3 linked regions of the Ovis aries genome follow. The protein of the gene in region 3 purifies or fractionates together with the protein of the main gene of each other region. This does not show direct contact. Links are inferred from orthologs where the notes say so. Each region holds a gene or a part of one and is shown on either strand. Other genes may lie near its edges.

Evidence for each region. Proteins that work in one complex are often made in the same cells at the same time.
Region 1: the proteins of NFKBIB (region 3) and NFKB1 purify together in Homo sapiens (affinity purification with mass spectrometry; 7 studies listed by BioGRID and IntAct, counting the BioPlex papers as one, with this or other methods). This does not show direct contact. The link is inferred for Ovis aries from reciprocal best matches to the Homo sapiens genes NFKBIB and NFKB1.
Region 2: the proteins of NFKBIB (region 3) and POLR1E purify together in Homo sapiens (affinity purification with mass spectrometry; 3 studies listed by BioGRID and IntAct, counting the BioPlex papers as one, with this or other methods). This does not show direct contact. The link is inferred for Ovis aries from reciprocal best matches to the Homo sapiens genes NFKBIB and POLR1E.

Annotation. Positions count from the first base shown.
Region 1 is NC_056059.1:22,544,754-22,548,268, forward strand, and holds part of NFKB1 (nuclear factor NF-kappa-B p105 subunit), read right to left. Parts: coding exon 3,399-3,515; exon of another isoform or gene 2,792-3,398; coding exon 2,622-2,791; exon of another isoform or gene 2,302-2,621; coding exon 2,199-2,301; exon of another isoform or gene 1,466-2,198; intron 414-1,465; exon of another isoform or gene 387-413; coding exon 262-386; exon of another isoform or gene 180-261; intron 1-179.
Region 2 is NC_056055.1:51,256,207-51,259,721, forward strand, and holds part of POLR1E (DNA-directed RNA polymerase I subunit RPA49), read right to left. Parts: intron 2,943-3,515; coding exon 2,857-2,942; intron 139-2,856; coding exon 80-138; intron 1-79. UniProt on the Homo sapiens protein: Component of RNA polymerase I (Pol I), a DNA-dependent RNA polymerase which synthesizes ribosomal RNA precursors using the four ribonucleoside triphosphates as substrates.
Region 3 is NC_056067.1:47,982,188-47,986,243, reverse strand, and holds the start of NFKBIB (NF-kappa-B inhibitor beta), read right to left. Parts: upstream 2,806-4,056; 5' UTR 2,741-2,805; coding exon 2,562-2,740; intron 334-2,561; exon of another isoform or gene 261-333; intron 1-260. Other genes in the region: SIRT2 (NAD-dependent protein deacetylase sirtuin-2), read left to right, coding at 3,179-3,194, 4,029-4,056. UniProt on the Homo sapiens protein: Inhibits NF-kappa-B by complexing with and trapping it in the cytoplasm.

The DNA of each region.
Region 1 (3,515 bases), on a different chromosome or scaffold from region 3:
CTGGTCTGAGTTCAGAATGGGCAACACGCTTTGTGAATTCTGAGTTTCTCTCATCTAACTCTGATCTGATTAGGCATACGCTTTTATGTTCAGAACTCTGCTGACCTAGATCTTTAGCGGATAGGCTTTTCAAGATAAATACAGCTCGTGACAAGCAGCCTGTCTTTTAAAAATACCAGGTGCGGGCTTTGGGGAATAAAGACTGAGGAAGACCACTTGCCGCCTCCGAGGCAGCCAACACGCTGGTGGAGCGGGGCTCACCTGCCAGCTGGAGGCCATGTCCAGAGGAGTGGTTCCTGGTACGACCCCTTCATCCTCTCCATCCTCATCCCAGGAGTCATCCAGGTCGTACAGAGGCTCGAAGTTCTCCACCAGGGGATCTGCTCCTGTGGAGCCAAGTCACACAGCATTAGGTAAAACCCACATCTTCTCGGCTCCTCACTTCCCACAGGGGTCAGATTCTATGAATATATAAAATACATTTCCACTAAAATATCCAGAAACCTGCCTTTAAATTCTAATATATCTTGACTGTAAAGGTGACCAATGATAGCTCTGTATAGCCACGGATACTGTCAAAAACACAGACTTGGACTGACGCTCACATTTGACCCCATAGGATAGTTGTGAGCGATGCACCTTTAACCTGAGGACTGAGGACGGTGGTTTATAGGGGCTACCTGGTGGCTCAGGAGACAAGGTTCCAACCCTGGGTCGGGAAGACCCCCTGGAGAAGAAATGGCAGCCAACTCCAGTGTTCTTGCCTGGGAAATCCCACGGACAGAGGAGCCTGGTGGGTTACAGTCCGTGAGGTCACAAAGAGTTGGACATGACTTAGCGACTAAACAACAAGGGCACACCCTTAGGCTTAAGGCCCCATGTGTTCAACTTGATGCCTGGCACCTCGTGTTTCTGTGTCTTCACCTGTTTGCTCAAAAGAGCAAAGCTGCTTTCTGTCTAGTGCCAACCTGTTGTGTTTTATTCCTGGGTTATGGCACTGATCCTTAAATGCAAAGCACCAAGAAGACCTTCTGGTAGGATGTGTAGTTATTGAAAGGTCATAGCTTCTAGTCTGAAGGCATTTTATTATCATAACCAGTGACTCCCCAAACTAACCATAAACACTACAATCACCGTCTCTTGTTCATGGGAATGTTCAGCTTGATGAAGGAGAAAAGAGAAGGCTGCTTATTTGGGATATGATGTCAGAAAAATACGGTGCCAAAGAAAAGGTTCTTATATTTTTCCTAGTCTCAGTTGTGTTTTTTTTAAAGAAGGTATTTAATCTGCTATTTTCTTGAATTGGTGAGGCATTTATTTTCTAAAAACAATAACCTTGTAAGTAAATCAAATATGCCAGGACAGGCTTGAGATACCAATTACAATTAAACATTTTTGAGGTTCTAAATGTAGAAGGCAGTGGAGATTCAAAGATGAGCAGGAATAATTTTCCTTTATCTCACAGGATGAAAGGGTTGAATTGGAATAACACTCTACATCCTTGAGCCAAGCAGGGGAGAGAAACAGAGAGAGAAGAGTCTGGAAGTTCAAGGTGACAAGATGTGACTCAAGCTCTGCCCCTTACTGGGGTCCAGGAACTGGGATGCAAAAGTCTCACCAGTCTGTTTCCTTGGCTATAAAATGGGAATAGTAATGGGATGTGTCTCAAAGGGTCACTGCAGATTAAGTAAGATTAAATGAGACAGTGTGAAATACCTAGCCCAACAGAAGCTAGCAGTTTTTAGGGTTTGGTACATGACAGCACTTGACACACGGCCCATGTGTTTGTCCCTATCATTTTGGCTTCTCAGAGACCTTTCTTACAAATGGAAGTCTTCAAGTGCTTTATTATACCAATAAACGCTTCCTTCTGAGGACCTGTGATGGGACCTTAAGGTTGATACTGCTCCAAATTCTACAAGGAATTCAGTTCAACCTTAGGATCTCCTGTCATGGGACTCAACTTAATCCAAATCCAAAACAGGTGAGTAAAAACTAACATGACCATCAGCATGGCACCCAGGGTTACTAATACAAACAGAGCCTTCATGGCTGCTAAGTGGGATTTGCAGCCACTTTTATTTATTTGTGCCTTTCTGCAGCACGTCCGTAGGTTAAGGAGGCGGCCTGGCTGCTCTAGCAGTCTGGGTTTGCCTTCCTGATGACATTCTCTAGGGCTGACTACCAGGCTGCCTTACCTGCTGCTTTGAGAAGAGCCGCCAGCCTGGTGGACCCTCTCCCGGCTGCTATGTGCAGGGGTGTAGTTCCGTCATAAGTGGTGCTGTCCACGTGGGCATCACCCTAAAATCCGCCCACACAGAAAACGGTTAGCTCAAGGTCCTCTCGCCCTTCTGTCCCCACCTCCCCTGCATGCGTGGCTCTCCAGGTCATGCTACAGGCCCAGCTGTATTCTAGGCAGGCTCTGCCAGTGCAGAGATCCTCAGAGATGCCGGGCAGGGGAATACTGGAGGGCCTGAGCGGCTATTCTGAAGCCTCCAGTAGATACTACACAGGTAGAGCCGACGGTAGGGAGATGAGCTGTTAGCCAAGTTGTTCTTTGAAAAGATTTTCCCAGATACCCTTGGGAATTGAATGAGAAGGCAGGTAAGTGCATCCCTCACCTCCAGGAGCAGGCAGCCAGCCAAGGAGATGTTGTCATGCTCCACAGCCAGGTGTAGGGCCGTGCGCCCCGACTTCCGCTCCTGGGCGTTGACGTCGGCCCCCGCAGCCATCAGCAGCAGCAGACACGGCAAGCTGTTGCTCATCATGGCTACATGTATGGCATTCAGACCTACGGCCCAAGCATAGGGATGGTCACGGGGAGGCAAGGCTGTTGGGGGTCAGCATGGGTCTCTACTCCAGTCTTTATAGGTGCTGTAAGTCAGCTGTCCTGCATGTAAACCCCAGACTCCTTTTGTGTTCTAGAGACAATGAGAGCACATAAACATTCTCTGAATAAAGGATGCTTTCTACATATTGAGGGGGCTTCCCTGGTGGTAAAGAATCTGCCTGCAATGCAGGAGACCCAGGTTTGATCCCTGGGTCAGGAGAAAGGAATGATAACCCACTCCAGTATCTTGCCTAGAGAATGTGTAGCCTGGCGGGCTACAGTCCATGGGATCGCAGATAGTCAGACATGACTGAGCAGCTAATACTTTTTATACATATCCAGAATGGTGTTTGCTCAGGTCTTGCTTTTCCCTCCTACTAACTATTCCAGATCATCTTTAAAGGAATTAGCTGCAGCCAGCAATGGAAATTTCCATGAGAGACGATGAATTCCCAGTGGTTAAGGAAAGCACTTTGGGGTGCAGATCAAATAGGCACATTTATCTGGTAGCTACTTATTGTTTGGAAAGCAGACAGAGGTTACACCACGATGTGTGATTGTCTCTTACCTTCCCCGTTGGGGTGGTCAATAAGTTGTGCTGCCTTCTTGTGCTTGAGTAAAATACCGAGAATTTTATCATGTCCTTCTTTGGCAGCGAGGTGCAAAACAGAGTTACCCAAGCGGT
Region 2 (3,515 bases), on a different chromosome or scaffold from region 3:
TTTTATATTACTGATGGAGAAACTCAAGGCCTGGAAGGAACTCACTTTAGGCTTCACATCTTAGCTCTGTCACACTTACCTTTTCTCTGAAAGATTTGGCTTGACTATCCAGTGTTGATTCACTCTCAACTGATTCATCTACAAAACATAAAACAAAGAAAAAAAGCAAACTGTTAAGTTTGCCTGCTGACAGCTGCTAAGCCGCTTCAGTTGCATCCGACTCTGTGCGACCCCAGAGACGGCAGTCCACCAGGTTCCCCTGTCCCTGGGATTCTCTAGGTAAGAACACTGGAGTGGGTTGCCATTTCCTTCTCCAATGCATGAAAGTGAAAAGTGAAAGTGAAGTCGCTCAGTCGTGTCCAACTCTTAGCAACCCTATGGACTGTAGCTCACCAGGCTCCTCCGTCCATGGGATTTTCCAGGCAACAGTACTGGAGTGGGTTGCCACTGCCTTCTCCATTGCCTGCAGACAGTAAGAGTGTTTAATATTTGGTTAACAGTTAATCTAAGAAAACCAGATTTCTCTACTACAGGACTTCCCAGAGCTTAACATGCATGTGTACTATGAACATTCAATATGAAGCTTCAGTATACAGATAGAGGGTCTGGAGAATAAACTATGGAATCAAGTGAAGGGATCCAAGGAAACATGAGGCCTCCAGGCGAAATGACTTGCCCTAGGCAATGCAGATGAGATTAGAAACTAAGTCCTATGCTCTTTCCAGTATACAGCTTTGCCCTTCTTGTAAAAGGGATGAGGAGGAGGGATCAGGAAGGCCGAGGAGGAGGAGGAGGAGGAGGACACGGGGATCACCTCCCGTTGACAAATACATCAAAAATACATCTATATGCGGAACAGTTCTCGTGGAAAACTAACTGAAAATTGGCAGAAGAAAGATTTCCAGGTAACCAGGTAGTAGGGTTGGGACCCCACCACTGCCCATTCAAAGGGATGTGAAAGGAAAGGAAGGTTTGCATGGGCTCTCCATACCACAGCCTGGCACATGATCTGAGCCAACGAGCCTCTGGATGTAGGGGAGGTACAAATTAGGAGTATGGGATTAAAAATAGATATAAACTGCTGCTGCTACAGCTGCTAAGTTGCTTCAGTCATGTCCGACTCTGTGCAACCCCATAGATGGCAGTCCACCAGGCTCCGTCGTCCCCGGGATTCTCCAGGCAAGAACACTGGAGTGGGTTGCCATTGCCTTCTCCAATGCACGAAAGTGAAAAGTGAAAGTGAAGTCGCTCAGTCGTGTCCAACTCTTCGCAACACCATGGACTGGAGCCTACCAGGCTCCTCCGTCCATGGGATTTTCCAGGCAAGAGTACTGGAGTGGGTTGCCACTGCCTTCTCCGGGATATAAACTACTATACATAAAATAGATAAGTGACATGAATTTACTGTATAGCACAGGGAATTTTACCAAATAGCTTGTAATAAGCTATACTGGAATATCATCTGCCAAAAAAACAATATATATATATCATATGCCATACACCTGAAACTAACAAAATACTAGAAATCAACTATGCTTCAATAAAAAAATTTTTTTTTAAATTTTAAGACCTAAAAGTAGGCATAAACATGAGATATGTATTATTTTACATGAAGCTCTCTGATCTCCCAGAGTATTCATATAAGGGGCAATAATCTAGTGGACAGGAGTATAAGCTTTGAAGTGACCTTGCTTGCATTTAAATCCCAGGTCTCTTACTTATGTTCCTGCCAAAGTCATTTAACTTCTGTTTCAGGTTCATCATTGATTAAAAAGTGAAGTAAGCGATATAATGCATTGAAAGTGCTTACAACAGTGCCCAGAGCATAGTAAGGACCCAATAAATGTGTGTGTGTCTTTTTTATATATGCTGGTTGGAATTAATCAATATTTACAAATGTGTTTAAATAACAAATTAATGAACAATTTTCTTTGTTCATTGGAAGTTAGAAGAGCATTTGACGGATAATTTATATGTTTGAGGAAATTCTTCACCTAGAAGACTATGGACCCCTAGGAAATTCACAGATGACCTTTGGGATGTAAGAGCCCTTTAAAATTATATGCAAAATCTCATATTTTTTGTATATTATGTATGTTTCTCAGAAGTACTTCTGGTTCTTTACAAGAAACGCTGAGACCACTGCTTTGCCAGAACAGAACTAATGCCTCTGAAGGTATCAAGCAGATTCACAATGATCCTAATAATCCTTATCTAATTCCCTCCCCAACCATGGTTCTCAGTATTTAAGATTTAGAAACAGGAGCCCCTTGAGTTTGACCATCTTATCTATCATTTTCAAAGATCCCACTCTAGCCCAATACATTCTAAAATGCCAGAGAAGAGAGGTATTGCAACTTCTCCCAGTGGGTTAGAGAAAAAATAGATCTCTTCCCAAATTACAAAGTGTAGAGACTTTGCATCAACCTTTGTCCAACCTATAAGCAACTTCTACAACCTACCAGAGACTCTGAAACCTCTACCCCAACTAGAACCATTAAGAATTAAGAAAGGCCCTCGATGAAAAAGAGTATCAGAGATGCCCTCCATTACTCTGCTCTGATCATTGCTCAACCTGCTTAAACTAAGATTAGATTTTGATCTTCAATCTGTAAACATTGTAGGGACAGAATCTGTGTCTGTTTTGGTATATTCACAGCCCCTAACTTGCGCCTGGGGCATAGTAGGTCATCAATAAATATTTGTTGAGTAAAAGCACTTTTAAAACTTTGTCAAGTGAAAAAAAAAAAAACCTTTAAAAAAACAGCTACAAAATGTAGTTTACAAGTCAAACTGATGCATCCAGCAAACCTAAAATATTCAGCCTTTCCTTGAGCCTTCATAACTAGAACCTACCTGAAAACAGTGGCTGCATGTTGAACAATTCAGCATCATATACTTCCATCTGGCCAGAGGTCTTATTCAAAATTCCCACAAAGTGCCTAAATAAAAAAGGAATATCAGTGACAATGGATCATTCAAAAGGTATTGTTTATGCAATCTCCTTGTTTCTGCTTAAAAGGCACCACTTACACATGAGTAACAATAATCCCCCACAGCAGATATTCTCTGCAAGCAGAGGGTAATGAAGGGGGAAACAGGAAGGGTAGCAGGGAAGTCACCAGGTGATTCTTATAGCTAATCACATTTGGGGTCACTGGTGTAGTGGTAAAACCTTTTGGGATATAACAATCTAGAACTACACTAGAATTTACTCCATGGGTAAATTCTATGGAGGCAAATACAAAACTTTGGTAATTACGAGAAGACTAGTTTAAACTAGAAAAGCTTTGTAAAGAGATGATAAAAGTTTCAAGCACAAACACATTCATCGGAGTTCTATCAGCTGCTGGGGTGGAGGAAGGGGGAGATGACTCTAAAAGGGCCTTGGTTGTGGTTCATGGATGGATATCTTCATAGGGACACTGCATTATGCAATGCCTGACAGTGAGACTGAACACGCTGAACAATCTTCATTGTACCAAGAAGAAAACCAGAGATCAGTAAATGGCGGA
Region 3 (4,056 bases):
TTCCACATGCCGTGGGGCAACTAACGCCACGTGCCACAACTGCCTGTGTGCTCTAGAGCCCGTGCTCCCCAACAAGTGAGACCACCACTATGCGAAGCCTGCACAGCACAGCTAGAGAGCATACCCCGCTCGCCACAACTAGACAAAGCCTGTGTGCAGCAACCAAGACCCAGTGCAGCCAAAAAGAAACAGCTAAATAAACACAAATTTTAAAAAAGGAGAAGCTGTCAGAGTGGATAAAAAAGCAAAACCTAGGGTCTTCCCTGATGGTTTAGTGGTTAAGACGTTGCACTTCCAATGCAGAGGGCCAGGGTTCAATCCCTGGTCAGGGAACAAGATCCCACATGCTGCAACTAGAGCCGATGCAGCCAAATAAATTAAAAATAAACATTTTTTTTTAAAAAGCAAAACCTAACTATACAAGTAACAGCTTTTCAAATAAATTTAAAACTAAGTTAAGAATAAAAAGATGGAAAAAGATATACCATACTAACGCCTGTCAGTCAAAAGTAAGTAGGAGTGTTTTAAAATAAGAGTAAGATTTCAGAGCAAGGAATATTACCTGGGATAGTGCAGATTATTTCACAATGATAAAGAGGTCAGTTCAGGAAGAGGACACAATAAACCTAAACATTTGCACTCCTTATAACAGAGCATCCAGTCTCATGAAGGAAAACCTGATAAAACAACAAGGAAACCCACAATTATTATTAAAGATTTCAATACCTTACTCTCAGTAACTGATAGATCAAGTAGAGAGAAATTACCAGCAAGGATATAATAGACTTGGAAAAGAGAAGAACCAAAGAAACCAGCACAGGACTTACAGGTCTAGTGCTAAAGAATCCACCTGCCAAGGTAGGGAACACAGGCTCAGTCTTTAATCCGGGAAGATCCCACATGCCTCGGGGAAACTAAACCAACGCGAAGCAACTACTGCGCCTGTGCCCTAGAGACACTGCTCCGCAACAAGAGAAACCACCAAAATGAGAGGCCCTCACACCGCAACTAGAGAAAGTCCGTGGGCAGCAAGAAAGACGAAGCACAGCCAAAAGTAAATCAATAAAAGTTTTAGAAAAGAAACCCATACAACCTCTAACTGACATCTGGAGAACTACACTCAACAACAAGATACCAGACATTCTTTTCAACTGCACACACAATAGAATTTAACTACAAACCAATAAAAGGAAGGTATTCGGAATATCTGGAAACTAAATAACATACTCCTAAATAATCCACCGCCCAAAGAAGAAATCAAAGGAGAAATTAGAAACTATACTGAATTAAGTGGAAATGAAAGCACAGCACATTAGAAGTGATGAGATACAGCTCACGCACTACTTCGGGAAATTCACATGAATCCTATATTAGAAAAATAGGAAGGCCTCAAATCAATGACCTCAGCTTTCACCTTAAGAAACTAGAAAAAGAACAAAAATAAACTCAAAGTAAGCAGAAGAAAGTAAATAACGAAAGTCAAAACAGAGATAAACACAACAGAAAGCAAAAAAAGAGACGAGAGAAAATAAATGAAAGCACAGCTGGTTCTCTGGGAAGACCGGTGTTTCTTGAGCGCCTCCTATGGGTCAAACACCGTTCTGTCACTGGGGCTACGGCAGTAAACACAACACACAAAAACCCCGGGTACATTCCCTCAATTAGGTCTTTATGACGTCGTTCCTTCTACCTGGAATACTCTCCCCAGATAATCTACTTGTCTCATTCTTTCCTGCTTTATTTTTCACCAAGGAAATTCCTGTCTTCTGACACACCATTTTTCTTTCGTTCGTTTTTCTGCCTGTTTCTTCTCTCTCTCCTCTCTCTTTCTTACTTTGTGTCTATACGGCTCTCTGTTTCTTTCTTTCCTTCTCTCTTTCTTTTTTGTTTCTCCTACTGTTCCTTTCTTCCTTCCTGTCAGTCTGTCTGCCCTTCCATTTATAGACCCCCCACACTAGAACGTAAGCTCCACAAGGCATAAGTTGTTGTGCTTTCTTCACTGCTTTATCACCAGCATCTACAACTGGGCCTGAAACGCTGTAGGTGCTAGATAAATACTTGTTTAACAGATGAATCCTTGCTGTCATAGAGTTTACATTTTCTCTTTCAATGTAGGATTTGAAGATCAGTGCTCAGAAAGTGGGAGATCTTAGAGTCAAAAGCCAAATGTTAATTTTGGAAATCAAAATTTAAAGCTCCTAAATTAGGAGCTAAGGATCAAAGATCATATTTGGAGGTGAGATGTCAGAAGGAGCCTGTGAGCTATAGTTTTAAGATAGGTCTCAGGACTGGGGTCAGGAAGCTCAAATTGAGTTTTGAATGTGGAATTAGTCAATGGATATGAAACTCTGAGGGCCAAAGTTTCAGAAAGGACGGGGTTATGATAAAAACTAGCTTGGAAATTGATTTTATCAAGGGTTAGACTCGGGGGTTAGAGGTCAGAGTAAGCATTAGAAGACAGATTTAGGATTAAGAGGTTGGAAAATCAGTATCAGGGACTAACAGGGAATCAGATGTGGGATCATCCTAAGGCTCGGTGTGGCAGGCTAAGGTTCACTCACGTGTCGCCATCCTCAGTGACGTAGCCGAAAACGAGGGGCGCCCACGACAGCCCCGGGCCCAGCTCCGCGCCTAGCCCAGGTCCTCCAGGGGCCGCCGCGTCCGGACCCAGAGAGCCCAGGCCGCTGTCGCACCATTCATCGGCGTCCGCAGCTTTCCCCAAACACGCGACCCCGGCCATAGCCCCCAAAGCCTCAGGGGACCCCAGCGGCTGCCCGCCAGTCGCTGGGCTCTGCCTGGAATTCTGGCGCTTCCGCCCTGCTGGGAATTCCCCAACACTCCCCCCGGACTCATCCAATCAGAGTCGGCTAAATAGTAAGCGCCCCGCCCTCATACTACACCGTGACCAATCAGAGTATTCAGATGGACTGCGACTCTCTACCCTTTCCCACTCATTCCGCGCGCCCTTTACCAACATGGCTGCGGACGCGAGGCACTCTGGGATTCGTAGTCCGGCTCTCGCGTGTCTCTTCTTACCTCAGAGGGGCACGCTCCGGACGTTTTTCTATGCCTCCTGGGAGTTGTAGTTCTTTGACCTATCTCTGCCCCCCTCCTGTTTCCGGTGCCGTCACGGGATAGAGCAGTCGGTGACAGTCCCGAGGGCCCCCGCCCCGCGCCCATGGCCGATCCGGATCGTGAGTCGGGGGCCCTGGTGGGAGGGTCGGGCCGCGCCGGGGCCTGGCTGAGGGCTGCAGGCCCCGGGGCCCGAGGGCGGGAGTGGTGGGGCAGGAGATGGGGGCTGCATGGAGGGGAATGAGGTTCAGGGAGCCGTTGTGATATATATTGCTGGATAGATTGGTGGGTTTCTGGGTCTCGAGGTTTTAAGGGTCCGTTTGCCACTTCCCCTAAGTGACTAATGATAGCGTGTGTCTCGCACCTTAGTTGCTAAGGACCCTTGTTACTAGGGACTTAGAATACCGCTGTCCGGGTTGCTAAGGGTACCTGGTTGTTAGTGGGAACTGTAGGGTGCTGGGGACCCCTGGTGTCCCCTCCTATCTCTTCCTTCCTCTTGTAAACCTGCCATCTCGCCCTTCCGTTCCGCCCCCACCACCTCTTCTTGCAAACTTGCCTCCAGCCCCAGTATCCCTTATCTTCTCTTTCTTTCTACATTTTCTTCTGCTTGTAAACCTAACCCTCCCAGCACACACTCACACACTACTGTGTCCTTCCTAACTCCTCCTAAGTCTTCCTTCATGCCCTTATATGCTTTACTTTCTTTTCGCTTTCCTAAGCCTCCATGTCCCAGCCTCTTTGTCCTTCACCAACCACCTCTCCTCCCAGCACTCTCCACTCTAATAAGATCTGCTTTTCTTCCTTTCCCTCCCTCCATCTACTCCCTTTTGATACCCCCACCCCATATAACTAGGTTGGAGGTCTTGTTGCCCCTCTCTACCCCGACTTAGAAGCCCTTCATTCCCCCTTAACCAATCCCTTCACTGTAACCACGTCTGCTCCCCCTCCTCCCCCAGCCTCTGACCCTGAGGAGACCCAGGCAGG